Elephas maximus indicus: one gene and its partners. The protein of the gene in region 2 purifies or fractionates together with the protein of the main gene of each other region. This does not show direct contact. Links are inferred from orthologs where the notes say so. Each region holds a gene or a part of one and is shown on either strand. Other genes may lie near its edges. The genes, in order: PIAS3, STAT3, CEBPB and PTPN2.

Region 1 (7,810 bases), on a different chromosome or scaffold from region 2:
TACAAGACAATGAGAGACAAAGCAGGTGCAGGAAGATGGATAGGGAGAGCAGGGGGGAACAGAAGACAGAGAGCAGAGTAGAAGGATAACCGCCCAGAAATGAGGCAGAAGACTGATGGGGAAGTACCTGGATGTGAGGATCTGCTGCACTTGCTGGGGTGTAAGGGCAAAGGTAAAGTGCGCTTCCTCAAACCGCTGGCTAGAAGTGGATGCTAAGGACACAAAGGGGCAGTTATTCCCAAGCCCATGCACAAGTGGCCACAGAAGTTGACCCCATCCCAGATTCCTGATCCCACAGGGCTAAAGCCCAAGAAAGGATTGGGGAAGAGGCATGGGGTCCAGGAGGGCCGAGGAACCACAGAGTGGCATACCGAGGGTGGTGGGCCGGATGAGCTCCCCGTAGACTTCATAGAAAGGCAACGGTTTCATAGTGACATCAGGGTGCACAGGCTGGGGCAGAGACGGGTGCATGTCTACTTCACGTTTGGGGACCAGCACAGTGCCAGGGGCCAGGAGGGCCGGGGGAATGGGGGCTAGGGGGCCAGGGGAGCCTACAGGAGGGGTACCAGGGGGCAGAGAGATCAAGGAGAGATCAGAGGGCCCCAGGGTCTTCCGGGGAAAGCGTCGGCGGTAAAGCTCTTTGATCTTCATCTGGACGCTGGGAGCACAGCTGGATTTGAGAAGGTGCAGGGCCTTGGCCAGGAGCTCGTGCTTCCTTCCACTCTTGTTCCGGCCAGCAAAGCCAAGGAGCACCTGGAGCTCAGATACTCGGAAGCTCATCACCATGTGCTATGGAGAAGAACAGAAGCTTGAGGATCCTGCCAAGGACACTGGGGCTAAGCCGCCCATTGGGCAGTGCCCCTCTCCCTCCAGCACTGATCAGAAAGATGCTTTGCAGCTAGTGGGTTACTGTCAGGCAGCCAACCTGGCCAGGGGGACACCTCAGTCTCATTTCAACAACTCTCAGGTCAACCTCCCCACTACCCCCCAGCTTGAGCAGCCCCCGTCTCCCATGCCTGGAAATTGACCACAGTGTGGGCAGGGAAGCCAGACAGCAAGCCATCCCCAGACACACCCTGAGTCCACTACATCCTTCTGCCTCCATCTATGGACTATTTTTTAAGCTGCTTATCTCCTCTCCTGCTCTTTCTCAGACCCATTCCAGCCCCCTGGAAAGAGAATAAGAGACAGGGAGAAGGATGGAGAGAGGAAAGGATTCAGGCTAGACGGCCTTACGGGGAATGAAGAGACAGGTGGTTAGACGATTGTGCCCCACAGTCCACCCCTCCCAACTACCTCAATCTGCCTCAGCTACTTGCCCCAAGTCTCTAAAGCTTTTGTGGACAGGTCAGGGTTCAATACTCCTAACCCCCCCAAACCTTGTCTCTGTGTCATCTGTGTTAACCACCCTTCCCTTCAGTCCTAGTTTTCTAGGAGGAAAACAAGACCAAAACTGGGGGAAAAGGGAGAACAGTGAACCACTAAGTTCAGGTGTCCTGCCTGTTTACCTGTTTACTCCATCTGCTTTTCTCCTATATAGAGAAAATAAGTTATTCCCACTCAGTCCCTCCCAAAGGGGTGAAAGAAAAGAGAGCAAAGCTCTAAACAGAAATCCTGGGAGAATGAGGAGAAGGCGTACAAATCCTGATCCAGGATACAGAACTGCAAGCTCCCAGGGTGGTGCAAATGGTTAACACGCTTGGCTGCTAACCGAAAATTTGGAGGTTCGAATCCAGACAGTGGTGCCGCAAAATAAAGCCCTGACAGCCTACTTCTGAAAAATCAGCCAATGAAAACCCTACGGAGCACAATTCTACTCTGAAACACACGGGATTGCTCTGAGTCGGAATCAATTCGGCTACTGGTTTTACAATGGCACCTGGGCCCACTGGCCCAATGGCTGGACCCCAGCCTGCCTAGGGCTGTGGCTCCATTCGAAAGGGGCAGAATAAAGCCCGGAGGCAGAGGGATGAACCCACTAGTTTTAAGGTTCTGTGACCTATCCTCTGATGCAGTTACCCTCAGGCTGTGTGTGGTGATGGGAGGGCACAAAGAGCTCTCTCGTTGAAGGGCTCCTTTCCATGAATCTCTAGAAGACTCAGCCACAGGCCAGCCTTGCTAGCCCTTCAAAATTCTTCCCTTCATAGGAGGGGTGGCCTTATGGCTTGGTCCATTTTGAGAAATATGGTGAACAACTTGCTACTCTTCCTTCTTCCTCCTCATCCTTATCTCCTCTGTCCTGGCTTTAGCTTTCCAATAGTTGTGCCTATAACTGCCCCTCCTTCCTATCCCAGTTTCACACTCCTCTGCCACAGCCCAAAGACACCCACTCACTAAGGCAGGACCCTCCTCTCAGCCTCCAGGATGCTTTTGCCCCACCCCTCAAAGTATCTGCACGCAGCCCCGCCCCCTATATCTCAGCCGCCAGCTGGGTATTTCCCAAGGTTGGAATACCAAAAGCAGCCCCAAAGCCTCTATACTGTCTATTGCATTTCCCCGAGGACCCTCTCCTACATCTGCCCGCCAGTCCCATCCCTACCTCTGCCCCCTGCTGTCGCATCTCTTGGCCTTGATCAACTAGCCGCCTAAGACTCTACAGCAGCTTTTCCCCCGGCCCTACCCCTACATCTGCCCCAACTACCAAATCCGACTTCTACCCGCGTCCCCGCCCCCTGCGCCGCGGCCCCCAACAGCTGCAATTCCCCTCAGCCCCGCCCCCGAACCCCACCGCAGCCCCTTCTCTCTCATCCCTTGCAGCCCTACAGCCATTCCCCGCCACGTCTCCTGCTGCCACCCGAGCCCTCAGCACCCAGTCTCGGTCGCTGCCCCGATTCGGCGTACCGCCGGGATCCGTCCAGATGGGGATGGGGGAGGGGGCCGGTACCTTTAATTCGCCCAGCTCCGCCATCTTGAGACATCGCAGGCGCCCGAGCCCGAGCCGGAGCTCAGGCCCAGGGACCGGCGCACAACTCCCCACCCCGGCGCCGGCCGCAAATGCCGCCTGCTCCGCCCCGTCCGGCCCCCTACACCGCCCCTTCCCTGCCCCGCCCGCCTGGCTCCGGACAAGCCCCAGCCTCCGTCCCTCCCTCCGCGGCCGGACCCAGCCCCTGCACGTCGTTGGCGGGTCTACAAGACGGGTAGACCCGGAGGGAGTGTACGGCCTAAAATCGCGGGGTCCCGGAGGGTAACGGAGAGAAGGCGGAACCGAAGTGCCTGGGGGAGGGGAGATTTGCCACGCCAGACTTGGGAGGGGATGAGCTTTTAGGGAGTCAAAGATCCTTGAAATATGGAGGGAAAGTATCGGAAACTGCTCAGTCTCAGGGGAATGGGGGAGGAGGGTGGCAAAGTTAGAGCGAATACCCTCATGTCAATCTCTCCAAATTTAAAAAGCTAAAATCAAAGAGTTTTACCAACTCGCGAAATGGGTGAGCTCTGCTGCATTTTAGGGAAACTACGGAATCATAAGGAAGCTATGGTGGCCCAGTGACTAAAGCGCTCGGCTGCTAACCGAAAGGTCGATGGTTCGAAACACCAGCCGCTCCTGGGGAAGAACGATGTGGCAGTCGGCTTCCCTAAAGTTTACAGCCTTGGAAACCCTATGGGGCAGTTCTACTCTGTCCCACAGGGTCGCTGTAAGTAGGAATCGACTTGATGGCAGTGGGTCTGGGTTTATGGAGTCGTAAACAGTTCAGTTCAAGACGGCTATTCTCAGTCCTCTGCCCCCACTTCCCCCCCATACACCAACTACAGTGTAGCTCGTGGTCCAGCCGAAGTACTTCAACTCTGCAGCAAAAAAAGTTTGGTGCTGAGAGCGTGACTTACCAGCAGTCTCAGGGAACGGGGAGGGGGTTCGGAGGGTTCCGAGGTGGGCCGGGGAGGTGGGGAAAGGGGGCTCGGCGTCGCTCCGGCAGTCTGCACGGCTGGAGTCCTGTCCGGCAGCTGGACGCTGCAGCCGCGGCTCGGCCTGGGCGGGAGCTCCGCCCGCCCCAACGCTCGGGCTGGGTCCGCCCCCTCCGGGGTAAGCCCTCCCGGACCGCCCTGCTGGGGAGGGGGCGGGGCCTGAGGCTGGAGGGGGCGGGGCTCGGTGCCCAGTGTTCATGAGATTAACTCTTCATGTGAGTGGATCGGCGAAGACAAGTTCTTGGATCCCATCTTTCACACCTCTCTGATCCCTCGCGCTGGCATAACGGCTTGAGGAGGAGGCACCCTACAAATAAGAGTGTGGACCAGGGATGTGGCCCCATAAAGAGGTTCCTACTTTCTCCCTCCCTGGGGGATAACCTGGGTCTCTTGAATCCAAAGTGTGCCTGGCCCTAACTCTACGTGTGGTTCCCCACCCTCTACCCCAGATACACATACAGTCCTCACAAGAGACCCTACATCTTGGTGTAACTGAAGGTGAGCAGAGCGGAGGTTTTCTTGCCCGTCTCTGAACTACCTACTCTTCTACCTCCAAGGCCTTGGACTCTTCAGGGGCCCCCTTCTCAAAGAAGCTAATTACTTACCTTAAGGCCCCAGAGTAAATCCGTTTTATATCCATAAAAACGTCAACTTTGGGCAGTGAACCCATACTAAGGAGCCCTGGTGGTGCAGTGGTTAAGAGCTCAGCTGTTAACCAAAAGGTCAGCAGTTCAAATCCACCAGCCGCTCCTTGGAAACTCTATGGGGCAGTTCCACTCTGTCCTACAAGGTCGCTATGAATTGGAATCCACTCGCTGGCAACAGGTCTTAAGAACCTTAAGTAAGATCCCTGGGTGGTATAAACCCTATGGAGCAGTTCTACTCTGTAACACATGGGGTCACTATAAATCAGAATCCACTCCAGGGCAGTGGTTTTTGTTTTGTTTTAACAGAAGGACCTAAATGTCCTTTGTTCAACAAATATTTGAGTGATACTCAGGGATTGTTAGGTGCTGTGGACACAAAAACCTTGCAGGAGCTCACATTCTAACAGCAGCGACAACACATGTTAAACCCATAATCAGAATACTCAAAGTATTTCAATAAATAATATGAACAATTCCCTCATGTAGCTTAAGCCTTCAGTATAATCCCAACCATGAGACCCCATCCAAGCCATAAGACTGAAGATGCCAGCCTACTAATATTCCCAAATACCTGTTGAAGTGGCCCATGCCAACTACCTTGTGGAATCTATCCCTATGGAAAATGTCCACCCTCTCCTGACACTCAGGTTCTTTCCTTGATGCTCTGCTGTCTACACTGGTAGGCCCCTCAGACTAAACCCAGGCTCAGGTGTTTGGTTCTAAATCCCAACTGCCCCTTCCTACACCTGAATTGTCATCAGGCCCTATGCCTTTTTTTTTTTTTTTTTTTTCTTCGTTCAGTTCAGTCCTCTAGATCAAAAGTTACTATGGATTAGTTTTTATTATCTAATAATTTTAGAATTTGTGGGGAGAAAGGGTTGGAAGGTGATTACAAAGAGATGGGGGACATTTTAGTAGTGATGGATATGATATCTTCATTATCTTGATTATGGTAATGGTTTCACGAGTTTAAACATATGTCAAAATTTATCAAACTATACACTTTAGATATGTGCAGTTTATTGTATGTCAGTATAAAATTAGAAGAAAGTCAATCTCACCTTGGTTCCTAGTGATTTTGTGAAGGAGGGATCTCCTTTAAAAACGAATTTGAGGTTATAAATTTTGGCATTCCTGCAGAATAACAGAAAACTGGGAACCAAGGCAGCTGAATCTGGTCCTGTACACAAGTTCCAGGAGGGCAGGCACTTCTTCTGTGCTGTTCACATTGTATCCCCAGGGCCTGGCACATAGCAGACTTTTAAAATATCTGATGAATACATTAACAGAGAAAGAGGGGGAAACTGAAAATCAGGGCCAAGTTCCAGGCTGAAGGCAAAGACATTATGATTCCCATCATGGCCCACCAAGCTTTACCTCCTGCCTTCCTACTCTCACCTACACACTCCCATCTGATGCCTGGGGCTCCAGGGGGAGGTTTACAGGAGTAGTGAAGTCCCTCCCTACTACAGTCCATTAAACAGGCTGCCCAGCAGAAATAGGGAGGAACATTAGGGTTAGAATTGCTTTGTGAAAGATTTGTAAAGTCAAGGAATACTCCAGGGCTTGGGGTTGTTGGGGTCACAGTTTACGGGGCTGTATAGAGGGAGATTGTACAGAAAGAGCAGCGGCTGGAAAAGGTTCCACTCCTATGCTAACGTTAACATCACTTACCACTCCCACAACTCAGCCATCCTGGATCAGCTTCCAGGAGCCCGGGAGGGAGCCAAAGGCCTGGTTTGCATTACCAAAGCAGTTTCCTGACTCACAATTAGCCAAATGATCTACCCCCTCTCTGAACCTTTCTCTCTGCAGTTTTTTTCATTTTTCCCACCCGACTAATGAGGAATGGAACAGTCCTTCTATATTTTCTGGTAACTGGGAGCAGGCAAAAAAGAGGTTCTGTTCTCCTTAATAGAAGTCCCTCGGACCTTTGTGATGCTCTTCATCTGGCAGCTGCTCTCTTTCTCCCCTTCTCCTTTCAATCCCTGCTCTCTCCATTCTCCCAGCCTTCAAGCAGCCCTGCGCCCACCCATGCAGACTCCAAAACTGACCTGCACCTTCTCTAGGACCGGATCTACATATCTCATCTGCTCTGTTCCTACCCAAACCCTGAAGCCAGCCCAGCCCCTGGAGCCCATGTGTGGCCCCTGCCTTCAAGGCAGCCGCTCCCCCACTTTTTTTCTCTCAACCCAGCTAGTTTGGCATCTCCCGTATAAAATTTTTCAAAGCTGAAGGCTGAGCATAAAACGATTCACAAATAAGTTCTTTTCTCACCACCTCACATAGTCCTTGCCCCCTCTTTCCCCTGCCTGTCTCAGTTTCCACCTAAGCCTGGTGCTCCGGAAAGGCTTCTAAAGGTTGGTTGGTAACGAGAGGCAATTTAGTATCTTTTTTGCCAAACTGCTGCTGTCTGACCCAGCGTGACCCCACAGAAGGCAGGCTGAGAGAAGGAATGGGAGGGACCAGAGTGTAGGCCACAAACTGCTGTTCCAGGTTTTGGAAGAACTCACTGCCTCACTTTTACCTAGCAGTCTGGCTGGCTGAGGAGCAGGAAGGGGAGGAGACCCCACAGAAGTGACCAAGACAGATACATTTTTTCAGTCTGAGAACAGAACTGGAGGGAAGAAACCAACTGAGTTCGTCTTCATCCCTTTCCCAGGAATCGGACTTTTCATCCCCGTTTGCACCTGGGGCACAGAACAGTAACCACATAAAATAAACCCTCGAATCTAGACGCATGGTCTGATGCATGACAGAATATTTTAGATTGTACACCTTAAAGAAAATCCAGGTCTTTCAATTTCTCCTCCTTAAAAAAGGTCATGGAGCCAGGAGTCTCAAGATCGAGACAAAAGATCAGTATCTGTAAGATAAAGATTTGAAAAAGAAAAGGAAGAGCATCAATCCCCCGTTTTCACTGAGGGCTATGTATTTCAAGTCTTCATCACTAAATAGACGACAGATATGTGGTAACTTTGGTGAAGGGTAAGACAGGCAATATGGGAGAAGCCAGCACAACCTGTACAAGGCAAGGTCCTGGTAGCTCCACAGACACATCTAAACTCCCTGAGGGACCAAACTGCTGGGCTGAGGGCTGTGGGGGCCATGGTCTTGGGGAACATCTAGCTCAACTGGCATAACATAGTTTATAAAGAAAACATTCTGCATTCTGCTTTGGTGAGTAGCGTCTGGGGTCTTAAAAGCCTGTGAGTGGCCATCTAGTATACTCCACTGTTCTCACCCCTTTGGGAGCAAGGGAG
Region 2 (7,882 bases):
TATATGTACCTTGGGCTTCCTCACAACATGGTGGCTGAGTTCCAAGGGTGAGCCTCCCAAGAGAGAGAGTCAGGTGGAAGCTGTATTACCTTTTCTGATCAAGGCTCTGCAGCATTGCTTACACTGCATTTTATTTGTCAGAACTGAGTCACTAAGCAAGAAGAATTAGACTCTACCTTTAGATGGCAGAAGTGTCAAAGAATTCACGAACGTGTTTGAAAACCACCATAAAATCATTGGGCTGCTTCTCTCTGCCTTTATTCACTTGGTGGGTAGAGGGTGGGGACTCACTTTTTCTCTCCTCGAGACCCTTTTTTGGGCATTCAAGAGGAAGCTTAACCCATTGCCGTCCTCGAGTTGATTCTGACTCATAGCAAAGAGGAAGCTTAGACCTGGAGATATAATCACAGAATAGTTATTCAGGCTTTCAAATTAGACACACTTGGAGTTGAATCCTGGCTCTGCTACTTACCAACTCTATGTTTTTGGGTAAATCACTTAATCTTGGGTAAGCCCATTTTAAGGAGCCCTGGTGGCTAGTGGCTAGGGCTTTGAACCAGTTCGCTCTGGTTTGAACCCCTGATGATAATTTGCATTTCTAACAAGTTCCCTGCTGGGAATTCGCATTTCTAATGAGTTCCCAGGAAGTTATACCTAAGAATCTGATTAAAATGTAGATTCAGTATATCTGGAGTGGAAATGCAAATTATCAGCTTGGAACTTCTTAGAAATGCAAATTCTCAGCAGGGAACTTGTTAGAAATACAAATTCTTAGCAAGGGTTCCAGCTGAACAAGCTGATTTGAAGCCCTGCTGGTGGCACAACAGTTAAGCCAGTTAAGCTGTTAAAGGGCCTGGCTGCTAACCAAAAGTTTGATGGTTTGAACTCATCCAGAGGCTCTGCAGAACAAAAACCTGTGAAGATTACAGCCAGAAAAAACTATGAGGCAGTTTACTCTGTCACCTGGGGTCATTATGAGTAGGAATTGACTCACAGCACCCAACAACAAGCCTCATTTTAGTCATCTGTAAAATCACAGTATCCTCCTTTCACTTAAAGCACAATAAAAATTTAAAAAAACAAAAACAGTATCGTCCTTTTGGGGTTACTGTAAGGATTAAATAAATTAATAGGTGTGTTTACATGAGTTAATACATGCTTAAAGCAATGATTAGCACACAGTAAAAAAATACCCCAAAAAGCAAACCTGCTGCCATCAAGTCAGCTCCAACTCATACAGACCCCATAGGGTTTCCAAGGCTGTAAATCTCCATGGAAGCAGGCTGCCACATCTTTCTTCTGGGGATCCACTGGTGGTTTCCAACCATGGACTTTTTTGGTTAGCAGCCGAGCACTTCACCCACTGCGCCACCAGGGCTCGCAGTACACAGTTACACTCCATAAATATTAGCTATTGCTGATACCATTATTCAACTCGTATTTATTAACATATAATTAACTCAGTCTTGCATGAATTCTATGTTAGATACCACATGCTGGGGTTAAGAAAAGGAGCAGTAATTCCATCAAGCTTCCAGGAACCTAAATTAGGGGGAAATGTTATCTACCATGTGGGTAGAGAGTGCAGACTTTGGAGTCAACCAGGCCTGATTCTCATTCTGAGTTTGTCCCTAGTTTCCAGCTGTGTGGCCTTCGATCAATCTTTAACTTTCTAAGCCTTAGTTTCCTCAGTTGTCAATGAGAATTATAATAGCACCCACCTTGCTAGGTTCTTGAAAGGATCAAATGAGATAATCTATGTAAAATGCTTAGCACATTTCCTGGAACATAGTAAATAGTTAATAAATGCTAATTATTAATTTTATTTATCAGGAAGTAGACTCATAAATGAAGACACTGTCATCCAAGGTGGTGAATGCTATACTTGATGTGGAAGCAACCTGCTGAGCAAGTCCAACAGAAGTGATTCACTTTGCCAGGAAGAATCTAGGAAAGCCTAGACAAGGTGGTGTTGGAATGGGGCTTTGAAGGATAAATAAAAGTTTTTCAGGTAAGGAATGAGGGGAGGGAAGGTGTTCCATGTGGAGGAAAGAATATCCATAAAGGCATGGCATTGCAGAAGGTGCTGGCATGTTTGAAGGAAGATAAGTTCAGTGTGGGAGCTTAGGGTGTGTGGGACAGAGGGGATGAGATGGGAAAAGGGGGTTTAGGCCAGGTTTTGTAGGACTTTGTAAGCCAAAACAAGAGGGCGGAAAGAACACTGAGTTCCTACCAGATGCCCAACACTGACTTAGATGTTCTCTCTCTATATATACATACCTTTTTTTTTTTAATCTAATTTGCGTTTTATCCTGTAGGTAATAGAGAACAGTAGAGATTTTTAAGTAGGCTGTGACATGACTGCTTATTTATTTATTTAATTTTTAGGACAATGTCCCTGGCAGCCAGGGGAAGGACAGGCTGGAGTGAGGAGAGAATAGTCAGGAAGCCACAGGGTTGGCCCAAGCGAAACTGCCATCTTTAACCAGGAGGGATTCGGCAGAGGTGTGGAGAAGGCCAGCGGCTAGGCTGTGGAGAGGTTCCAGGGTCAAATGTATAGGCTCAGGGATAGATTTTATGTGTAAATGAGGTAGAGAGGCAGTGAGGAAATGAAAACCAGTTGGTGAGGGGTCAGGGGAGGAGAATAGGGTTTGAGTGAATGGAGCAAAGCTATGAGATCTGGAGTCCAAAAACCAGACTCTGAACCCACCTGGATTAGCTGTGAGTACCTTTGTAGTCTGGAGAACTTTACCCTATCTTGACCTTAGTTTCTTATCAGTGAAACAGGTGCTAATAATATGGCTTCTCCTATCTATCACATGCCGATTGTTGTGAGAAAAAAAAGGGGTAACAAGTGTAAAAGTGCTTTGTAAGCAGTAAATCACTAAATAAATATTAGACCCACCGTTATTAGGGAGGAAGCCCTGGTGACGCAGTGGTTAAGAGCTACAGCTGCTAACCAAAAGGTCAGCAGTTTGAATCCACCAGGCGCTCCTTGGAAATCATATGGGGCAGTTCTACCCTGTCCTATAGAGTTGCTATGAGTCAGAATCCACTGGACGGCAGTGGGTTTTAGTTTTGGTTATTAGGGAGGCACTCAACTGCATGGTATAGCACAGCTGAGAGACAGTTTAGGTGAGGTGGAAGGTGGACGGTTATCTGTCCTGGGGTGGAGAGAAAACAAACAGGGTGCTCAACACATGCTACACACAAGCACAGTGATTTCCACACTGGGCTGGGTCTACAGGAGGGACATGGGAGACTCTCAATCCCATACCTAGTGACCCTATCAGGTGCCCCACAGCTGCTCTCATCTCTCACTTGGATGTACTGAGGTCCAAGAGGTCCAAATCTAGTGTCTTTGAACGGATTTCGGGTAGCTGAGGAACGATGTTAAGTCTGACAAGTAAATGCTACGTGGTGTGTTTTTCTGGGGCTGGAAACCATAGTCTCCATTAGACTCTCAGAGGGTTTGTGACCCCCTCCTAAAGTCAAGAGTCATTGATTTTCTCACCAGAAATTAATAAGAATAGTTACCCTCGGAGAGAGGGGCTGGTGAAAAGGGGAAGGAGGAGATTTTCATTTTCCACTTTCTGAACGGTTTGAACTTTCTAACCATGAGTATGTATTAAAAAACTTAAAAAAATGTGTATTAGTTTCATTTAAAAAAACTGCCACTAGGGGTAGGGGTTATCTGGATGATGAGAAAATGGGCTCTTTTTAGATTTGTGTTTACAAACATAAATACTAATAGTTGCTATTTTAAAGGAAACCCTGGTGGTGTAGTGGTAAGAACTATAGCTGCTAATCAGAGTCGGCAGTTCAAATCCACCAGGCGCTCCTTGGAAACAGTCTGGGGCAGTTTTACTCTGTCCTATAGGATCGTTATGAGTCAGAATCGAATCGACGGCAACGGGTTTTTTGTTATTTTAAAACCCTGTTAGTATCAGCAAAACAAATGCAAAAATCACTCCATTATGCAAAGTTTATCCTCTATTATGACTCCATTATGCGAAACCTACACTTCCTATAAACTACTGGCTTCAATTCAGTAAAACCTGCGTAAGAAGTAGACGGGTGAAAAAAAAAAAAACAAAAAACAGGCAAATTCAGGTATTTCAACTCAGGCATAAAAATGTCAAATACTGAGTATACGTGTCAACCTTCATATATATTGGCGTATGAAGCTTCAAGGAATGGAAAGGAAGACAGGGTTAAATCCACTACCCTCTCCCCACGCACTCTAGTAATTACTCTATTTCCACGTCATGTTTCCGGGTGTGTATGTCCCGACTCAAGCAGAAATTAAGTTCAAAGCAGGCAGGAGTCACCCATGTTCTTTTTGTTATCCGCCAGAAACCCGACTCAGGAGCTGGGCCCCCTGAGGACCTGGCGATACCTGGGGACTGTCTAACTGGCTGAATCGCACGTGGTAAGAGGCTCCCAACCTCGCCTCCACGTGGTGCCAAAGGCCGGGAACAGGGAGAGCGGGCAGGCGGGAGCCGCATCAGGGGCATTTAAAGTGTCTTGACGTCACACACTGCCAGGAACTCAGCTGAGTTTTCAGCAGGACATTCCAGTCATCTTTCCTCCCTCCCCCCGGGCCTCTGTGCCGCTGGCCTCTGCTCTTCCCCGGCTGTTGTGGAGGGAGGAGCACTACGCCCTCCGGAGCAGCCAGCACAGGGGCGTCCCCAGCCTTTACTTGGCTCCGCCCCTTCCCCCAGTGACTCTTTTGATTGGTCGGTGGGTAGGGCTTCGTAGGTACAGTGCGCGCAGCGGAGCCTCTGGATGGCGGAGACAGCTGGCTATCTCATGAATTATGCATAACAGCGTGTCTAAGCCCGGCAGGCGCTGGGCGGGGATTGGCTGGAGGGGCTGTAATTCAGCCGTTTCCGGAGCTGTGGCGGCGTAGGCCCGGAGGAGGAGCCTGGGGTTCCGACGTCGCCACGGAGGGAGCGAGCCCTAACCGGATCCTTGACTAGCACCCCAACTTGGTGTTCTTTCTCCCCGTCTGCTGGGAGAGGCCCCGCGGCCTGAGGGAACCCCGCGGCCCGCACCCCTGCCCAAGCGCAGCCCCGGCCTGTCGGGCCTCAGCCGGAGAAACAGGTGAAGGGGGTGAAGGGTGGGGCCGTCTCCCCAGACGCCCCCAGGCCTGGGGACCCCGGGGACGCGGGAGCGGGTGCGACCTTTTTGGCATGTTTGGGGAAAAACTGGAAACTTCAGTGGGGCGGGGGGAAATGAGGGGACACCTAGCGTCGCTCTGAAGGGACGACTCCCTGGGATGACAGGAGCGGGCCTCTGAAAGGAGAGGGGGCGCTGAAAGGAAGTTTCATTCCTCGGAGAAAAGGGGAGAAGCGGAGGAAGAGTGAGACTGAGCTCGAGAGGGAGGACTGTGGGATGGAGTGGCAGCGGTGAGGGACAGCCCCCCTACTTCCTGCTCCCTGGGACTCTGGGGACGTTCCGGCCACAGGAGAGACTGTCACACCGGCGGAGATCACTGGGGGCGGGGGTGTGGAAAGAGCCTCGTCCCCGCCCCGCTGGCAGGGTCCGGCGGCTCCTGGCTGAGCCACTTCCTCCTTGCCCGGTTCCCGCTCCTTTAGGTGCCAGCTGTAATCCTCCGGAGGTAGGAATAGGTGTCTTCCCCGAGAGCCTGACCGGCTGGTTGGTTGTGGGTAGGATTATTGCATAAGAATCTAGTTTCCTGTAGGGAAATTGACAAGACTTGTACTCTTTCTAAATTCCTTTCCATCTTATTCTAGCTTAAGCCGTGCTTTCCCCCCCTTTTTAAAACAAAACGAAACAAGATAAAACCCCAATCAGGCCAGCCCTAGAGAGAAGTAAACCTCTTTCCCCCTTGGCATTATTCTTTTATAAACACCTGGTAAACACGGCCAGAAGATAAATAATTGAGCCATTGCATTTACTGGATTGTGGTGTTGCTTAATTGCATAGGACAGAATGAACCAATCGACAGTGGTTTCTGTCTCCCAGCCAAGATCTTGGGTAAATGCAGAGGAGAGGAAAGCAAAGACAGGCTGGCCTTGGCGAAGCTATGTGCGCAAACTTTACCTGTGTTTGGGGGTGTGGTTGCCCTTAAATTAGCAAAATTCAAACCCTCGCCCAAGTTGCCTTTTCCATGTTTAGCACACATCACTCTGTTATATCAAGTGGGTGTATGTGTGTTGACATAATCAGTGGTTAGTCACTTTTTTTTATTAAAAAATATAGTTTGTACCTTCTGGTTTTTATTGCATGTGTATGTAAAGGGTGTACTTATTCTGTACATGGATTGTAACTTTTTGGCTGGCTGTGCTAATAAACGTTGGTTTGAATAAGTCAAAATGGTAAATCATCTCCATTTTTATGTGTGAACTTAGACCGTATTGTGATTTGATTCAGCCAATTTTCTATTTTTCTTTATATTAAATATGTCTGTGTTCCCTGAGTCAACACATTGATTTCTTCATTACATATGTCAGACTGGAGTACTAGTAGAAGTTTTGTTCAGATGTTTGCACAGTAGGATGGGAGAGAGAAGTCTGGAATAAAAAAAAAAAAACCTCCGTAGATCTTGGGGGGCTGATCTTAGTCTCTATATCTGTTAGCACACCCACCACAAAGAACCATTAGCAAATTCATGAAAATATGTGTATGTGTATCTTTTGGGAAGGATAGCCATTTAGAAATACCCACAGTTATGACTAGACCCACAAAGGGCTTGTGATAATAGGTCATTCATATAACATTAACCTATTTCGTAAATAAGGAAATTGGGGGCAAATGAACAAGACGCTTGTCCAAGTCAGCAGAGTGCTATAGTGGCAGAACTCATACTTTCTGTATATGTTGTGTTCTTTTTGACTATCAATGGTTAAGTATTAGGTGTTGATTTAGAGTGAATGTAAGCCCTGCTGACATAGTGGTAAAGTGCCACGGCTGCTAACCAAAGGGTCAGCAGTTCGAATCCACCAGGCGCTCCTTGGAAACTCTGTGGGGCAGTTCTACTCTGTCCTGTAGAGTCGCTATGAGTTGGAATCGACTCGACGGCACTGGGTTTGGTTTGGTTTTTGGTAAGCCCTGCTGGGAAAAGTGTCAGTGCAATTCTAACATATATCTGGATGGTGAAATACCTCCAGCAGGCTGTAAGACTCCAAGGAACACAAAGATTCAATAAACAGGTGAAAAAGAAGTACAGATAGGGCTTGCTTAGGTTACTTTTCTAACTGCTATGTCTAACTTGGAAAGTAACTGTTTTTAGTAGGGAAAATGCACCATCAGAACACAGGTATTTGGCTAAGGGAAAGAGATGTTTTCTTAGGGAAAATTTGTTAAGGGAAGGGCAGTTGTGACTTAGATGTCATTTAAACCAGAGTGCTTTGTGGCTTACACTGGTAGTTTGCGTCTCCAGAAAGATGCTTTCTCCTCCCTGCGTCTAAGTGTCTTGACATTCAGGTATGAGATGGGGCAGATGGAGACCATCATTGCAGAAGCTTGAATCCAGCTCCCTTTTAGCTTATGGTTTTCAGAGAGGTGGCATACCAATCCGTCAACAAACATTACTTTGTGAAAGTTGCTGGGAAGAATAAAATGTGTCTTATTCCCAGAATTTGTAATCTACTGGGGTGACTTGATCAGTACTTCAACCATCCAGTGAGACATGTTGTCGTCAAAGAGGTGGTAAGAGCATTGAGCCTGTGCTTTCCAAAAAGGTGGCTATTGTATATAAAAAAAAGCATATAGTACAGATACAGAACATTTCTGTTATTATAGGAAGTTGTATTGGACAGCGCTGCACCAAGCACTACAGTCTTCAGAGGAAGGAGAGGTTATAGGGGCTGAAATTGCCTAGGAAGTCTTCTTGGCAAAGGAGCGATTTGAACTG
Region 3 (7,235 bases), on a different chromosome or scaffold from region 2:
GTGTTTTTAAACAGCCTGCCCCACTACACTGATCAAAAAAGCCTACCCCTGACTTGGGCCAAGCAGGACCAAGACCGGCACCCCCTCTTTCTGTGGCATCACAGGCCTGCCTGCCTAGCCCCCATAGTGGGGGATCATAGATCTCTGCCTCCCTCAAAACCCAGGCCTGGCACTAAGGACCAGAGGTCCCTGCCCCTCCCCAAGTGGACCTCTCAACCACCGGTCTCCAGCACCCAGGGGTGCTGAGTCACCCCAAAAGCCTGACCCAGCACTCTCCACCCCCAGGACCAGCACTCCCACCTCCAAGCTGACCTTGGGGGGCAGCCGGTTAAAAGCAAGCCCAGCTGCAACACCCCCACCCCGCCGCGAAAAAGCCAAAAATATTAGCAGCCCCCACAGAAACACAATCCCCCACACCAGAAAGCGAAAATCAAGTCAATCCAAAATAAAGGGGAAAAAAAATCAAAAGCCAACTACTGCCCCCAAAAGGCTTTTTTTTAACCAGTCTCAAAAAAAAAAGTTTATTAAAAGTGTTCTTACTTAATGCTTAAAACGGAAAAGATTCCCAAAATATACAGACTCCTCTTTTCTCATAGAAATAGATTATTTTTTATAATACAAAAAAAAAAAAAAGACCAAAAAAACAAAAACAACAGCAACAACCCCGTAGGAACATCTTTAAGCGATTACTCAGGGCCCGGCTGACAGTTACACGTGGGTTGCGTCAGTCCCGTGTACACACGCGTCCAGCCATGTTTAAACCGATTGCATCAACTTCGAAACCGGCCCGCCCGCCGGCGCCGGGAGAGGGGGCAGGAGAGGAGAGAGTTTATCATTCATCTGTACACATAGACGTTTCTTCTTTAAATAACACCACAGGCGGGCGCCCCAGGTGCATGTGCGGTTGGTTTGGACAAAAATATAGACAGATATATATAATAAAATATTAAAATTACCGACGAGTCCCCGCGCTGCCAAGCGCCCCAGTGCCAAAGTTTTGCCGGCGCCACCAGGGGCGGGGGCGGGAGCGCGGGCGCGGGCGCTCCCGGGAGTCTCGGCGGCTGCGGCGCGCCCGGCAGCGCGGAGGCCGGCCGGCAGGGGGACGCGCGCGGGGGCCGCGCTAGCAGTGGCCGGAGGAGGCAAGCAGGGGCTCGGGCAGCTGCTTGAACAAGTTCCGCAGGGTGCTGAGCTCGCGCGACAGCTGCTCCACCTTCTTCTGCAGCCGCTCGTTCTCGGCCGTGAGCTCCAAGACCTTGTGCTGTGTCTCCAGGTTGCGCATCTTGGCCTTGTCGCGGCTCTTGCGCACGGCGATGTTGTTGCGCTCGCGCCGGATCTTGTACTCGTCGCTGTGCTTGTCCACGGTCTTCTTCGCCTTGCTCTTGACCTGCGAGGGCGCCGGCGCGGCCCCGGGGTAGCAGGCCGGAGGGGGCGCCTTGGCGTCGGCGGGGCTTGGCGTTCCGGGCGGGCTGGACGACGAAGACGTGGAGAGGCTCCCGCTGCTGCCGCTCGGCACCGCCTGGTAGCCGAGGTAGGCGCGCAGCGCGTACGGGAAGCCCGCCGCCATGCCTGCGGCGCCGCCGCCCGGCGCCCCAGCCTCCTCCTTCCGCTTGCAGTCCGCGGGCTCGAAGCCCGGCTCCACCTTGAGCTCGGCGGGCGGCGGAGGCGGGGGCGGTGGGTGCAGGGGCGCAAAGCAGCTGGGGTGCAGCGCCCCCTTGGCGGCCCCCAGACGCCCCAGGCTCACGTAGCCGTACTCGGCCGCCTTCTTGCAGTTCTTGCCCCCGTAATCGTCGGAGAAGAGATCGGAAAGGAAGTCGTGGTGCTGCCCGGAGGAGGCGGGCGCGGGGGCGGAGGCGGGCGCGGGCGGAGCCGCCTCGAAGGTGTCCGTGGCCGTGGCCGGCGCTGGGGCCTGCGGCGCGCCCAGCGGCTCCAGGTACGGGCTGAAGTCAATGGCGCGCTCGTGCTCGCCGATACTCCCCAGCTCGCCGGCGGGGGGGCGCGGCCCGGGCCTGGCCGCGGGGGGCGCGGGGGCCGCCTTGCCACCGTACGCAGCAGCCAAGCAGTCCGCCTCGTAGTAGAAGTTGGCCACTTCCATGGATTTAAAGGCAGGCGGCGGCGGCAGGGGGAGACATGCTGGGTCCCAGGCCACCAGGCGTTGCATGAACGCGGGTGCCCGGGGAGGGGGCCTGGGGCTGCCCGCTCCGGCCGGCCCGCAGGTGGCGCGGCCTCCTGGCTCCGAGCTGTCGCCGCTGTCGCTGCTGCTGCTGCTACTACTGCCGCTGCCGCCGCTGCCGGAGTGGCCGCTATTAGTGCGGGGGCTGGCGACTGGACCCTCGGTTGGGTCCCCTTCCCGGTCCCGTGCGCGGCTCTGACTCGCTAAAGTTTCTCCCGAGCTCGGTTATTTATAAGGCGGCCCATGGCAACGGCTGCGTCACGCCTGGCAGCCGCCCCGGCCCCTCCCGCCGCCGCCGCTGGGACGCGGAGGCCACGGCCACCCGAGACCCCCGAGAGGTCGGCGGCCGGGCGAGGAGGCCGGACCCGGACCACTAGCACGCCCTCCAGGGACCCCCAGCCGGGGGGGGGGAGACCTCACGCCCCCTGCCCACACCCACCTAGCAGTCCCCGGATTGGGAGCAAGAGGGGGAGGTGCGACCCCGCCCCCGGACCGCCCCCACTGGGCTGGCGGCTGCTCTGGAAGGGGGGAATCCGGGGAGGGGGCGACCCGATTGCCTTCCCCACCCCAAACACGGCCGCGGCCCGCCCCCTGCTGGAGGAGGCGGTGGTTTCAGGATTGGCCGAGCCCAGCCCCGACGCCCCACAAAGGGGGCGCTCCACAGGCGGGACCCTCGAGACCCCGACCCCTCCACGGGCCGTATCTCTAAAGCCCTTTCCGGGGCTCAGCCCCTGCCCTAAATTTGCCCTATATCCCCAGCTGTTTGAAAAAGGAGATTCCACATTCGTGGCGACTCGCCTCTTAAAAGCACTGCAGATACGCGGACCTTCAGGTGGGGATGTGCTGGGCCGCGCTCTTCTGGGGCCAAGGCCTAGATCCGGCTGCGCCCCTCCCCAGCCCCGCCCACCGCACCTGCCCGCCCCCTTAAGCCACACCCGCGTCTTTGCCCGCCCCACCCACCCCACCCCCGACCTGGGACTCGGGAACGTATGGCGGGGGTGCTGGGCTCTACCACACTGTGTGACCGTGGGCGAGTCACTTCACGTCGCGCCTAGTCCATGTAAGCCTGTCGTTATTAACGTTATTCCCAAACATAAGGCTTAAGTTTTAAGACCGCTGGGCCCCCCATGGGAGAGAAAGGCACTCTCAGTAGAGGGTACAGAGGAGGCCCAGAAGGAACATGGCACGCCCGGGGTCACACAGCCTCATGGCCTCCATTCATCTCCAAAGAAAAGCCCTTGTCCCAGTGCCCTAAGACCTATTTGCCAACCTAGAAGCCAAAAGGAGCCTTGGTGTTTACTGAAAGGTCAGCAGTTCGAATCCACCAAACGCTCCTTGGAAACTCTATATGGGGCAGTTCTACTCTGTCCGATAGGGTCTCTGAATCCGAATTGACTCCATGGCAACAGGTTTAGAGGCCAAAAAGCCTTCTGTTTTCGAGGATCGGGGGTGAGGGGGGTTGTGAGGCCGCCTGCTGGGGGGCATGCAGGAGAGAGAAGGGACCTTCGCCATTTTACGCAAGTCCCTACTATGCGATCAGTGGACCTGGGACTCACTTTTTCACCTAAGAGCCCTGCCCAGGCAGGTGCTCTTCTGCCCTCATTTCACAGAAAGGGAACTGGGCCAGGAGTTCATACTGGATTTGAACCCAGGCCTGAGGCCCTCTGACCACCTGCCCTCTCTAGCCCCATTCCTAGGCCATTTTGGCGATTCCCTGCCTCCCTTCGCTTGGCTACTCCTGGCCCAGGCCACCAGCCCGGCAGGAGCTCCTGGACTGCCCGGGGCTGACCCCCAGCCCACTGACCCCAGCCCTGTCCCCCGCAGGCAGGCAAGCGGGCATTGCTCAACCTTCAGCGTTATCTCCTGAGCTGGGGTGACCTCCGCCCCCAAGAGCGAGAGAAATGACATCTGCCAGTGCCCTTGGGGGTGGGGGGCAGGACAGGATCAAACACTGGCCTGGCCTGGCCTGACCTGCCCGCTTTTGGGGCCTTCCCAGCAGCCTCTGGGCCAGGGAGGGCACTGAGGTCCAGAGGGGTGCAGCAACTTCCCTAGGGCCACCCAACCAGGCCACCCAGCTGCAAAGTGGGACGCTCAGGCCTCAGCTTGAGGGCCACCGCCTCCAAGAGGGCCCTCCCTGTCCCGCCCCGCAGGAACTTCCTCCTCAAACCATATCTCCCATTATCCTAGCTGCGTATGTACTTGTCTCTCTCTCCCCTGGACGGTTGGCTCCTGGCAGCCTGGAACTCCTAAGCAGGGCATGCTCAGTATTTCCCAGTGAATCGATGCATGCGCTGTTCCCCTGGACCCAAGAACACTGTTCGCCCAGCTCTGCCTCAGGCAGCTCCTTCTCACCCCTCAGGGCTCAGCCCAACTGTCACCTCCTCCTCCGAGAAGCCCTCCTTGACCACCCATCAAAAGCCCCAGCCCCTCACGCGCTCCTTTCACATCTCCCTGTTTTATTTTCCCACCCTTCTCACCTGTCCTTGCTTTCTGTGCCCACTGCCCCCTCCCCATGTCAGCCCCTCCAGGGCAGGGATTTTTGTCTGCTTTGTTGGCTGTCTCCCCAGTGCCTGGTACACAGAAGGTGCTCCATGACTGAACGAATGAATGGAGGTGGATGTGGAGAAGAAGGTGAGACTCCCCATTTCCTGGACTGTGTGACCTCAGGCAGGATGGCTGCCCTCTCTGAATCTCAGCCCCCACCCCAGCCTCTCAACACTCTGGGGAGATACAGTGAGGCCTGGGAGGCCTGGAGCTAACTGGGGGATTGCTGTGCGTTCTCAGGCAAATCTGCCTTCTCTGAACCATATCGTAAGCTCTTTGTGTGTATTGACTCATTTAACCCTCCTAATTTGTAAGAGGCAAGTCCTGTTATTATCTCCACTTTACAGATGAGGAAACTGAGTCCCAGGGGAGCTAACTGTGCCTGCTCCAGGTCACATCAAAGGGGTGGGAAGGGATAAAAATCTTTCCAGCCTAACTTTCCTCTTTGGATTTGTAATAAATCGCAACAGGTCGGGTGCTGTGAACCCCATTTTCTGGATAGGAAAACTGAGGCTCAGAAAAGGGTGATCCAGGGTCAGAGTGAGTCAGGTGGCCACCTGGATGCTGGGGACCAGCACCCAAGGACCAGATCCCGCCCCATCCAGGTGTCTGACCCCACCTGAGGCATGGCGACCCAGGCCAGATTCCCCACTGGCCAGTGAGATCAGTAGCAGTTCCCACCCCAGTGCCAACCCAGGTGTCCTGCAGGGAGGCTACGTGCACAGGTGACGTAAGCCCTTGTTTTTACAAGGCTCATTGCTCAACAGGTCTTGCCTCCTGCCCCACCATTAATGCTCAATCTTTCCCCAGGGAAGGGGCTGCCGGGGACTCTGAACCGCCATGGCCCAGAGGCCAGGAAGACGCCAGAGTGGCTATGTGGGACCGGCCACTTTGGGCCTGCAGGCAGTGAGGACACAAGAGACCGGGATCCACCTGGGGTCACACACAGTGACCCTTTCCAGTTACCATCCCACGTGGTTTCTGTAGGAACCTGGGGCCAGACAGGGTCTCAAACCTAGCCAGCCGGTCAGAGCCAATCCACAGCTGAGTTCAGAGTGGCCCCATAGTGGTTTGGTTTTATTTTGTTTTTTAAGTGGATTTATTGCCAACATTTAAAAATCAGAAGACTTCACACCAAAATTCAAATTTCTGGATTCTCTTTTTTCAAACCAGAAGCTGTGGACTGGACCCACATAGCCTCACAGTGATGGGCAGGAGCCAGGCAGGGGCCACGGCCCAGGACATGGATGCACGCCGCCTGTGCTCCCAGACAGCTTCTCAGAATTCCGTCTTCCCATTCTCAGCCGCTTATCCTTAGCCCCATCTTCAGGAGGAGAAACCCCAGGCAGCTTGCCCAAGAGGAGAGTAGTAAAAGTAGAATAGGAAAGCAGAAGGTCAGCAAAAAAGAGAAAGACTCTCAACGAGATGGACTGACACAGTGGCTGCAACAATGGGCTCAGACATAACAACTAACAACAGTAAAAGTATCAGCGGAAGGGCTTAGAAATCCGCCGGCAGGCAGGAAAATAAGGCAAAACATCAGGCCATTAATTGAGGCCGTCTCTAGTGGGGGTGGGACAAGAGGGTGAAGGAGGTTGGATTGTTTTCCTGCTCTGGTCCTTGCAGTGGAATTTTGACCACGTCTGGTGTCCCCTCTGGGCCTCAGTTCATGGTCTGTAAAAATGAGGATGAGGATATCCCCTCTCTTGGGGGTTCTGGGCCTATTGCATCCCCCCCAACACATGAGTCAAATCAGACCTCTCTTTAGCCCCACAAAGGGTTCGACTGCTACAAGTCATGAAAACCTCACAAAACAGTAAACACTGGGGAAACTGAGGCTGAGAGAGGGCTTCCCCCAAGATCACAGTGAATTAAAAGCCAGGTCCCCTGATTCTAATGTCCAGGATTTTTCCCCATCACGTCTCCTCTCTGAGGCCTCAGTTTTGCCATCTGCCAAATGGGACGAGGAGTAGATCCCTGAGGGCTGTCAGGCCCGAAATCCACAAATCTGGGATTTTGGAATCCTCAGAGCCACTGAAGGAGCCCTGATGCAGCCGTGGTTAAGCACTCAGCTGCCAACCAAAAGGTTGGTGGTTCAAACCTACATGCGGCTCCTCTGGAGAAAAGACCTGGCAATCTGCTCCCGTAAAGACTGCAGTTTAGGAAACCCTGAGGAGCAATTCTACTCTGTCCTATAGGGTCATTTTGACGGCACCACCGGCAGAGCCTCTCAGGCTAGCCAGTGAAAATTGTCTGTGCATATGCTGTCACCTTGTGGCAACCTCAGGGACTGCAGAGTCAATTTAAATGAATCCTCTGGATTGAGGCCCCTGGGTGGCACAGTTTGCACTTGACCACTAACCTGAAGGTTGGCTGTTTGAACCCACCCAGTGGTGCCACGAAAGCAAGGCCTGGAGATCTGCTTCTGTAAATATCACAGCCAAGAAAACCCCATGGAGCAGTTCTACACTGTAATACATGATGTATCATACATGAGGTTGCCAAGAGTCAGAATCAACAG
Region 4 (8,006 bases), on a different chromosome or scaffold from region 2:
GGGAGAGGTCCATATTTATGTCTCTTCCAAAGAAAGGTGTTCCAACCGAATGTGGAAATTATCGAACACTGTCAGTAAAATTTTGCTGAAGATAATCAAAAATGGTTGCAATAGTACATCAACAGAGAACTGCCAGAAATTCAAGCCAGATTCTAAAAAGGACATAAAACAAGGGATATCATTACTGATATCAGATGGATCCTGGCTGAATGTAGAGAATACTAGAAAGATATTTACCTGTGTTTTACTGACTACGCAAACGTATTTGACTATGTGGATCATAAAAAATTATGGATAATATTGTGGAGAACAGGAATCCAGAACACTTAATAGTGCTGTACACAGACCAAGAAGCATTCATTTGGACAGAACGAGGGGATACTGTATGGTTTAAAGTCAGGAAACGTGTGTGTCAGGGTTGTATCTTTTCACCAAACTTATTCAATCTGTTTGCTGAGCAAATAATCCGAAAAGCTGGACTGTATGAAGAAGAATGGGGTATCAGAATTGGAGGAAGGCTCATTAACAATCTGCATTATGCAGATGATACAATCTTGCTTGCTGAAAGTGAAGAGGACTTGAAGCTCTTAGCAATGGAGATCAAAGACTACAGCCTCCAGTATGGATTACACCTCAGCATAAAGAAAAGAAAAATCCTCACAGCTGGACCAACAAGCAAGATTATATGAAATACAGAAAAAATCGGAGTTGTCAAGGATTTCATTTTAATTGCATCCACAGACAATGCCCATGGAGGCAGCAGTAAAGAGGTCAAAGGACACACTGCGTTGGACAAGTCTGCTGCAAAAGACCTCTCTGGAGTGTTGAAGGACAAAGATGCCATTTTGAGGACTAAGGTGCACCTGGCCCAAGCCATGGTGTTTTCAATCGCCTCATATGCATGGCAAAGCTGGGCATGAATAAGAAATACCAAAGAAGAATCAAAGCTTTTGAATTATGGTATTGGCGAAGAATGCCAGAAGAAAGAACAAATCTGTCTTGGAAGAAGTACAGCCAGAATGCTTCTTAGAAGCAAGGATGACGAGAATTCGTCTCACATATTTTGGACATGTTATCAGGAGGGACCACTCCCTGATGAAGGACATCATGCTTGGTAAGGTAGAGGGTCAGCAAAAAAGAGGAAGACCCTCAACAAGACAGACTAAGACAGTGACTGCAACAATGGGCTCAAGCAGAACAACAACCATGAGAATGGTGGGACTGGGCAGTGTTTTGTTCTGTTCATAGAGGCACTATGAGTCGGAACCGACCTGACGGCACCTAACAACAACTTTATAAAAAACTCACTATATTTATATATTTCTGTATATGTATTTCAAGAAAAGGTTTATTTAAAATATATATATATATACTTGTCTGAAGTTCCACTCTCACTGAAATCTATTGTTGTTGTTGTCAGCTGCCGTTAAGTCGGTTCCGACTCATAGCGACCCCATGCACAACAGAACGAAACACTGCCTGGTCCTGTGCCATCCTTACAATCATTATTACACTTGAGGCCATTGTTGCAGCCACTGTGTCAGTCCACCTCATTGAGGGTCTTCCTCTTTTCTGCTAACCCTGTACTTTGCCAAGCATGATGTCCTTTTCCAGGGACTGATCCCTCCTGACAACATGTCCAAAGTATGTAAGACGCAGTCTCACCATCCTTGCCTCTAAGGAGCATTCTAGCTGTACTTCTTCCAAGACAGATTTATTGGTTCTTCTGGCATTCCATGGTATATTCAATATTCTTCGCCAACACCACAATTCAAAGGCGTCAACTCTTCTTCGGTCTTCCTTCTTCATTGTCCAGCTTTCACATGCATATGATGCAATTGAAAATACCAGGGCTTGGGTCAGGCTCACCTTAGTCTTCAGGGTGACATCTTTGCTCTTCAACACTTTAAAGAGGTCCTTTGCAGCAGCTTTACCACAAACTGACAGCCACATGGGATACTGAAATCTACACAAGCAACCAAATGTCTGCCTGGTACATCTCTTGTGTGGACATTAGGTTTTTAGGCTGTATTTTGATATGTTGATCCCTTCGAAGTTCTAGTTTAGGGTCTATGGGTAGTAAACAGAGTTTTCCCTTAAGTGGATATAGACATACGATGGTAGTCATCTGGGGAAGAGGAGCCTCTTAGGTAGGAAACTGGAATTCAGAAGGAATGTCTTGTTTAGAAGAAAGAAGGGACTCCAAATTCCTGCTATGCATCATTTCCTTTGTTCTAGACTAGTGGTCCACAACCTGTGGGCTGCACAGTTCACAAGGGCCAAGGAGTAAGTTGACCACATTGCTAAAAATCTGAATGTACTATCCACCAAGCATTAGCTGTAAGATGAATAAATACCTCATGCTTTTCAAAAAATACAAATTCATTTAAAATATTACTAAATTCATAGTAGACTTTGGTCATTGTATATTTTCTCAAGTATGCAAAAACTATGTACGTAAAAGTATAGCTACTATCAAAAGGACTTTAAAAATTTTGTGGGCAAAAGGGGAACCTGATACTTAAAAATCTTGAGAACTACTGATCTTGACCTCATATAGGGCAAAAGTCTTTGTCTGAGGTCTTTAGAAATGGATACTAACAAAGCGATCGTCTGCTAAATGAAAGGTGGGTGATTCAAAACCACCAGCTGCTCTTTAGGAGAAAGATGTAACAGTCTGCTTCTGTAGAGATCTAAAGCCTTGGAAACCCTATGGGGTCTCTAGAAGTCAGAATCGACTTGATGGCAGTGGGTTTAAATGCAGGCAAGCTAGGAACTTGTTGGGTTGAAAGTCATATGACAGAGAGAACAAACCATATTTTATATACACAATACCCAGAAGCAAGTTACTCTTTTATAAAAAGTTTCTTTTATCCCTGAGTTTTAGCCTTATGTAAATATTCTTTTAGCACCATAGCTCTTGAAGAGCATTAAAATGCATAAAAATCATCTGGTGAGCTTCGTTTCAAAGCCTCATTCCCAGAAATTCAGATTCCTTAGGTTTGGGTAGGGCCTGTGATTTTGCATGTCTATCAAACAGAAAATGATGCTCCTGTGAGGACCACTGCACTAGATTTTAGCTGCACTTCAGCAAAATAGGAAAAAATGAGGATGACAATTGACCTACTAAGGGATGGGAAATATCTGGTGGCAAGAACTGCTGCTTTGAGATCAAGATGCCCCTCTTCTCAGTGGAATACCCCCACCATTACCGACGTTGGAGGGTCTCAGTGGATTTTATTAAGTGGACAAACTTTCTTTGGTAGAAGAGTGGATATTTTCAGGTTGGAAAGCAATCTGCTGAGCTAGTCCCTTTGGGAAGTACTTGATACCAACAATTTTAGGGTATTCTGGGAGAATCTGCGCCTTTATTCTAAATAATTAGTTTCAATGACAATAGTTTCAGGAACCAGGACAATTAGAGACTGTGCGGTTTTTTGTTTTTTTTTTTGAAGGGAACTCTATGTATTCCCAAATTAAACAATGTAGGTAGAAAACGCTGGTTGATTGCTTAATTTTCTATCACTCAGTCGCTGTGGAGCGGACTCCGACTCACGGCAACTCCGTGTGTGTTAGAGTAGAAGAGTGTTCCATAAGATTTTCCAGAAGTAAAAAAAAAAATTTTTTTTTTTTTTTAATTTCCAGGCCTTTGTTCAGGTAGCCTCTGGGTAACAGTGGCTCTGGGTAGCAGTTCCAACTCATAGCAAGGCCATAGAGTTTCCTAGGCTATAATCTTTTCTGGAGCTCATCTCCAAATTTTTCTTTTGGCGTGGCTGCCTGGGCTCGAACCGTCAATATTTCAGTTAGCGGCCAAATTGCTTAACCATCGGGCCACCAGGGAATCTTTAATTTTCTATTATTTACTGGTACTATATTCTGTTGGAACTCTGGTTGCACAGTGGTTAAGCACTGGGCTGCTACCAAAAGGTCAGCAGTTCTAATCCACCAGCCACTCCTTGGAAACCCTATGTGGGCAGATCTACTCTGTCCTATAGGGTCGCTAGAAATCAAAATCGACTTGACGGCAACGGGGACGTGACTTAAGGGCACTTTCGTACCTCAAGTATTTTAATCCTCTCAGACTTTGCTGGTCAAAACGAACTTTCTGTGATGATAGAATTGTTCTATATGTACGCCCTGCAATACAGTCCAGTAGAAAACGTGGCTACTGAACACTTGAAATGTGCTACTGCGACTGAGAAATTCATAATTCCATTTAATTATTTCAATATTGAACAGCACAGGTAAAATTTTTCTAAGCGTTCACATTTCTTATGACCATGATATAATAAGCATCCTCAATATGAGGAGCATATGAGTTCACTAACAACTATCGTAACGTGAAACAAGAGGATTTCCGTAATTAGCAAGTTTGTTGGACAAAAAAGGATTCTTTTCTTTTCACAGGCAATTTTTAAGTTGTGGGATGTTTTCTAAACAAGATGTATTCTCCCAAACTCCAGGAGAGGTTGCCCCTCCTTTTGCTATAGGGATTTTTTTGGCATAAAAAGCCGCAGGCGCAGAAGAGCTGCCGTCGGGGCGGGCGGGGGGAGAGGGATAGGCTCTTTTCTCCAGAAGGCTGAAAAATATGCTCCAAAGATGGAGCACATCCGACCTACCTGGATGATATTTAAAATAAACTGAAATACTGCATTATTAAAAAAACTGCAATTAAGGAGAAAAAGAGCATCGGGACGGAGAAAACAAGACGGTCCGGACGACTTCGGAGGGGACCTCCTGGGGCCCGACCCAAGCCAGTTGCCCTTGCGGGTGCCCACGCCCCACCCCCGGCCGTCCGCGCAGCCCGAGGGCGGGGCCCCTCAGGCCGAGCTTCCCGGCACTGTCGCCAGGCGGGGGGAGGGGCTCGGGCCCGCCCTCCGCACCTGCGCGCCCACCAGATGCACCGCCTGCCCGCACCGCCCAGCCGTGCGGCCTCCAGCGGCGCGTCGGCACGCTGACGTCCTACGCGCCAGGTACTTTCCCCACAGCCAGCGGTGGGAGGGGGCGGGGAGGGCGGCCACGCGCCGCGCATGCGCCCGCGGGGCGTCTCGGGTTCCCCGGATCCGCGCGGGGCATGAGCCTCTCCGCGGCCAGCGGCTTCCTTCGCGTCCGTGGCTCCCGCCGCCATGTCCGTCACTGTCCAGCGGGAGTTTGACGAGCTGGATGCTCGGAATTGTTGGCAGCAGCTGTACCTGGTGAGTCGCAGGGGCTAACACGGCGGCTGGCCTCCCAGCCTCCTCTGCCCCGAGGAACACGGACTCGAGCTCGCCCGGCTCCCTCCGCCGCCTCCCCGCCTCTTCCCTCCGCAGGCGGAAGTGGCAGGGCCGCTCGGCGGGCGGGCGGACGCCGACGGGCCGGGCTGGGGGCGCGCCGGTCGGGCGCAGAAGCTTGCTTCTTCCCCTTTTGGAAAGAAAAAAAAAAAAAAAAGGCTTTAAGTGGGGATACTCCTCGCCAGCGCAGAGTGAGCTCTGGAGGTTGGTGCCACAGCGTCGCCTCGTGGTGGCGCGGGTGGGCCCTCTGCGTTCGCGGGCACGGGGCTCCCGCTCGCCGCCCCGCCCCGGGCTGCTGCCGGCGGGGGTGTCTGGGCCGGGGGTCCTCGGGGTGCCCGGTCCCCGTCTCGGAAGGCGGGGAGCGGTTGGCGGTGTGTGAATCGCGGTGGCCTCGTCGTGGCGGGGCCTAAACCTTCGCGGCGGCGAGAGCTTCGGGGTCAGCACTTCGACGGTTCTCAGTCCGGGGTCGTCCACAGAGAGCCTTCCTGGAACGGACATGGGGTTCGGTTGTGTTGTGAAATGATGAAGGAGTATCGTTCCCTGTGTGCTTTCCCGAATCGAGATAAACTTTACACGCAGTAAAATGCACAGATCTTATGTGTACAGTTCAGGGAGTTTCACAAATTTATACACCCGTGCAAGCATCACTCAAATCGAGATAAAGAACATTTTTTGACCCCGGAAGGTACCACATCACCTTCTCCCACGTCCCGTAAACCACCTCTGTTCCACAGAAGCATCTTGCCTGTTCTGGGACTCTTACTAATGGGATCGTACGGTATGAGTTCTTTTGTGACTGGCTTCCTTTTTCTTTAAATTTTATTGTGCTTTAGGTGAAAGTTTATAGAGCAAATTAATTTCACATTTGATAGTTTGTACATAAAGTGTTCCGTAACATTGGTTTGAGACCCCTCAGTGTGTCAGCACTCTCCCCATTTCTGCCTAGGTTCTGCCTTTCCTTTCCTGTGGATTTTCTACCCTTTCCTGTATTCTTATCTGTGCTTTTGGGCAAATGTTGTTCTTTTGATCTATAGTCACTCTAAGGAACACATTCCTCTCAGCTGTTACGGTTTATTTTATAGGCCTGTCTGTTGTTTGGCTGAAAGATGGTCTCTGGGAATGCCTTCATTTCCAGGTCAGAAGGGCCATAGACTCAGGGGTTCCTTCAGTCAGTCAGGCCAGTAAGTCTGGTCTTTTTTGTGAATTTGAGTTTTTGTTCTACATTTTTTTCCTGCTCTTTTGTGATCCCAGTGACTAGCTTCTTTAGTCAACTAGAATATGTTTTAATTCAAACAAAACTTTTTATTTAACATTTATTTGATTGCCTGCTCCTTACTGTTAATTCCCAAGATTGGATTGAGCGGTTAGTTAAATGCTGCCAGATTTGTTTTGTGTATAGTAAAAAAAGCCATTGCTGCTGAGTCGATTCCAACTTATAGTGACCCTATAGGACAGAGTAGAACTGCCCCATAGAGTTTCCAAGGAGCGCTTGGTGGATTCAAACTGCCGACCTTTTGGTTAGCAGCTGTAGCACTTAACCACTACACCATCAGGGTTTCTGCTGTGTACAGTAAAAGGGGGAAAAAAGGGCTCTCCTGTATATCTGGAGGATCTTAGTTTTTTTTTCTCCATTTTCCTTTAATTGGATGACAGTAAAAAATGTTTCCTTTGTCGTTATGTTCAGAATGTATACCATTTTGTTCTGGAACACGTTAGCAGGCAGAGTCTTAAATAGTCTTAATCACATCAGTACAGTGTATGTTAGAATAGGGCACTAACTTTTAAAGAGTGCTGGTTAGGACTGTTCCAATCGCGATAAGTCTTAAATGCAAGTTGTAGTAGGACTCTTTATGTGAGAGCCTGGCAGCTGTTCCTCAGTTATAGTTGGTTTAACAGAGGAGAGGCTGCTGTCTTCAAGATGCAATTGATATATCAAAATACCGACCTGAAAAGAGAAAGATCAGTGGTGCAACTTAATTCAGCTTTCTATCTTGCTAAAGCAGCTTGATTTTTTTTTTTTTGTCATTATTATCCTCGAGAATTCAATAAAAACTGATCTCAGTTGTCCGAAAAATGTACGTACTTAGATCCACTGAAAATTTCGCATCAGGTTTCAAAGAGCTCAGGAAACAGTTTCATGGGGTCATGGCTAGTCATCTTTTGGTTTAGTGAGTTGGTCAGCATTCTTCTACTTTTCATAATGAAAGAACCAGAGCGTTAGCTTTGTCAGTAGGAATCATGCCGTGCATGCTGGTGTTACAGTACAAGTAGGTCACAAAACAAGAATGTAATGGAAAGCAAGCCTGGGAAGAGTTGGCTAAGGGTGTTTTCCACAGGACTTTGAACCTGGTTCCTTCGAAACCCCTGCTGAGAATTTGCATCTCTAACAACTTCCCAGGCCATGAAAATGCTGCTGATGAGGGGCGGTTCAGAGAATCGCTGGTAGAGTGGTGGTTCTCAAAATTTATTGTACACGAGAATCACCTGGAAAAAAAAAAATGTTAAACTGTAGAATCTGATTCAGTATATCTGGGGTGGAAACCCTGGTGGTGTAGTTGTTAAGTGCTACAGCTGCCAACCGAGGGGTCGGCAGTTTGAATGCGCAAGGCGCTCCTTTGAAACTCTACAGGGCAGTTCTACTCTGTCCTGTAGGGTCGCTATGAGTTGGAATCGACTCGAGGTTACTGGGTTTGGGGGTGGAAATGCAAATTCTCATCAGGGAATGAACCAGTTGAA

Evidence for each region.
Region 1: the proteins of STAT3 (region 2) and PIAS3 purify together in Homo sapiens (affinity purification with western blotting; 5 studies listed by BioGRID). This does not show direct contact. The link is inferred for Elephas maximus indicus from reciprocal best matches to the Homo sapiens genes STAT3 and PIAS3.
Region 3: the proteins of STAT3 (region 2) and CEBPB purify together in Homo sapiens (affinity purification with western blotting; 3 studies listed by BioGRID, with this or other methods). This does not show direct contact. The link is inferred for Elephas maximus indicus from reciprocal best matches to the Homo sapiens genes STAT3 and CEBPB.
Region 4: the proteins of STAT3 (region 2) and PTPN2 purify together in Homo sapiens (affinity purification with western blotting; 7 studies listed by BioGRID). This does not show direct contact. The link is inferred for Elephas maximus indicus from reciprocal best matches to the Homo sapiens genes STAT3 and PTPN2.

Annotation. Positions count from the first base shown.
Region 1 is NC_064821.1:157,723,595-157,731,404, reverse strand, and holds the start of PIAS3 (E3 SUMO-protein ligase PIAS3), read right to left. Parts: upstream 3,011-7,810; 5' UTR 2,909-3,010; coding exon 2,885-2,908; intron 790-2,884; coding exon 372-789; intron 213-371; coding exon 128-212; intron 1-127. UniProt on the Homo sapiens protein: Functions as an E3-type small ubiquitin-like modifier (SUMO) ligase, stabilizing the interaction between UBE2I and the substrate, and as a SUMO-tethering factor.
Region 2 is NC_064837.1:49,311,875-49,319,756, reverse strand, and holds the start of STAT3 (signal transducer and activator of transcription 3), read left to right. Parts: upstream 1-4,876; 5' UTR 4,877-5,106; intron 5,107-7,882. UniProt on the Homo sapiens protein: Signal transducer and transcription activator that mediates cellular responses to interleukins, KITLG/SCF, LEP and other growth factors. Once activated, recruits coactivators, such as NCOA1 or MED1, to the promoter region of the target gene.
Region 3 is NC_064843.1:19,463,826-19,471,060, forward strand, and holds CEBPB (CCAAT/enhancer-binding protein beta), read right to left. Parts: upstream 2,376-7,235; 5' UTR 2,159-2,375; coding exon 1,121-2,158; 3' UTR 508-1,120; downstream 1-507. Other genes in the region: translation initiation factor IF-2-like, read left to right, coding at 2,414-3,002, 4,690-4,769. UniProt on the Homo sapiens protein: Important transcription factor regulating the expression of genes involved in immune and inflammatory responses. Also plays a significant role in adipogenesis, as well as in the gluconeogenic pathway, liver regeneration, and hematopoiesis.
Region 4 is NC_064829.1:8,896,061-8,904,066, forward strand, and holds the start of PTPN2 (tyrosine-protein phosphatase non-receptor type 2), read left to right. Parts: upstream 1-5,001; 5' UTR 5,002-5,126; coding exon 5,127-5,195; intron 5,196-8,006. UniProt on the Homo sapiens protein: Non-receptor type tyrosine-specific phosphatase that dephosphorylates receptor protein tyrosine kinases including INSR, EGFR, CSF1R, PDGFR.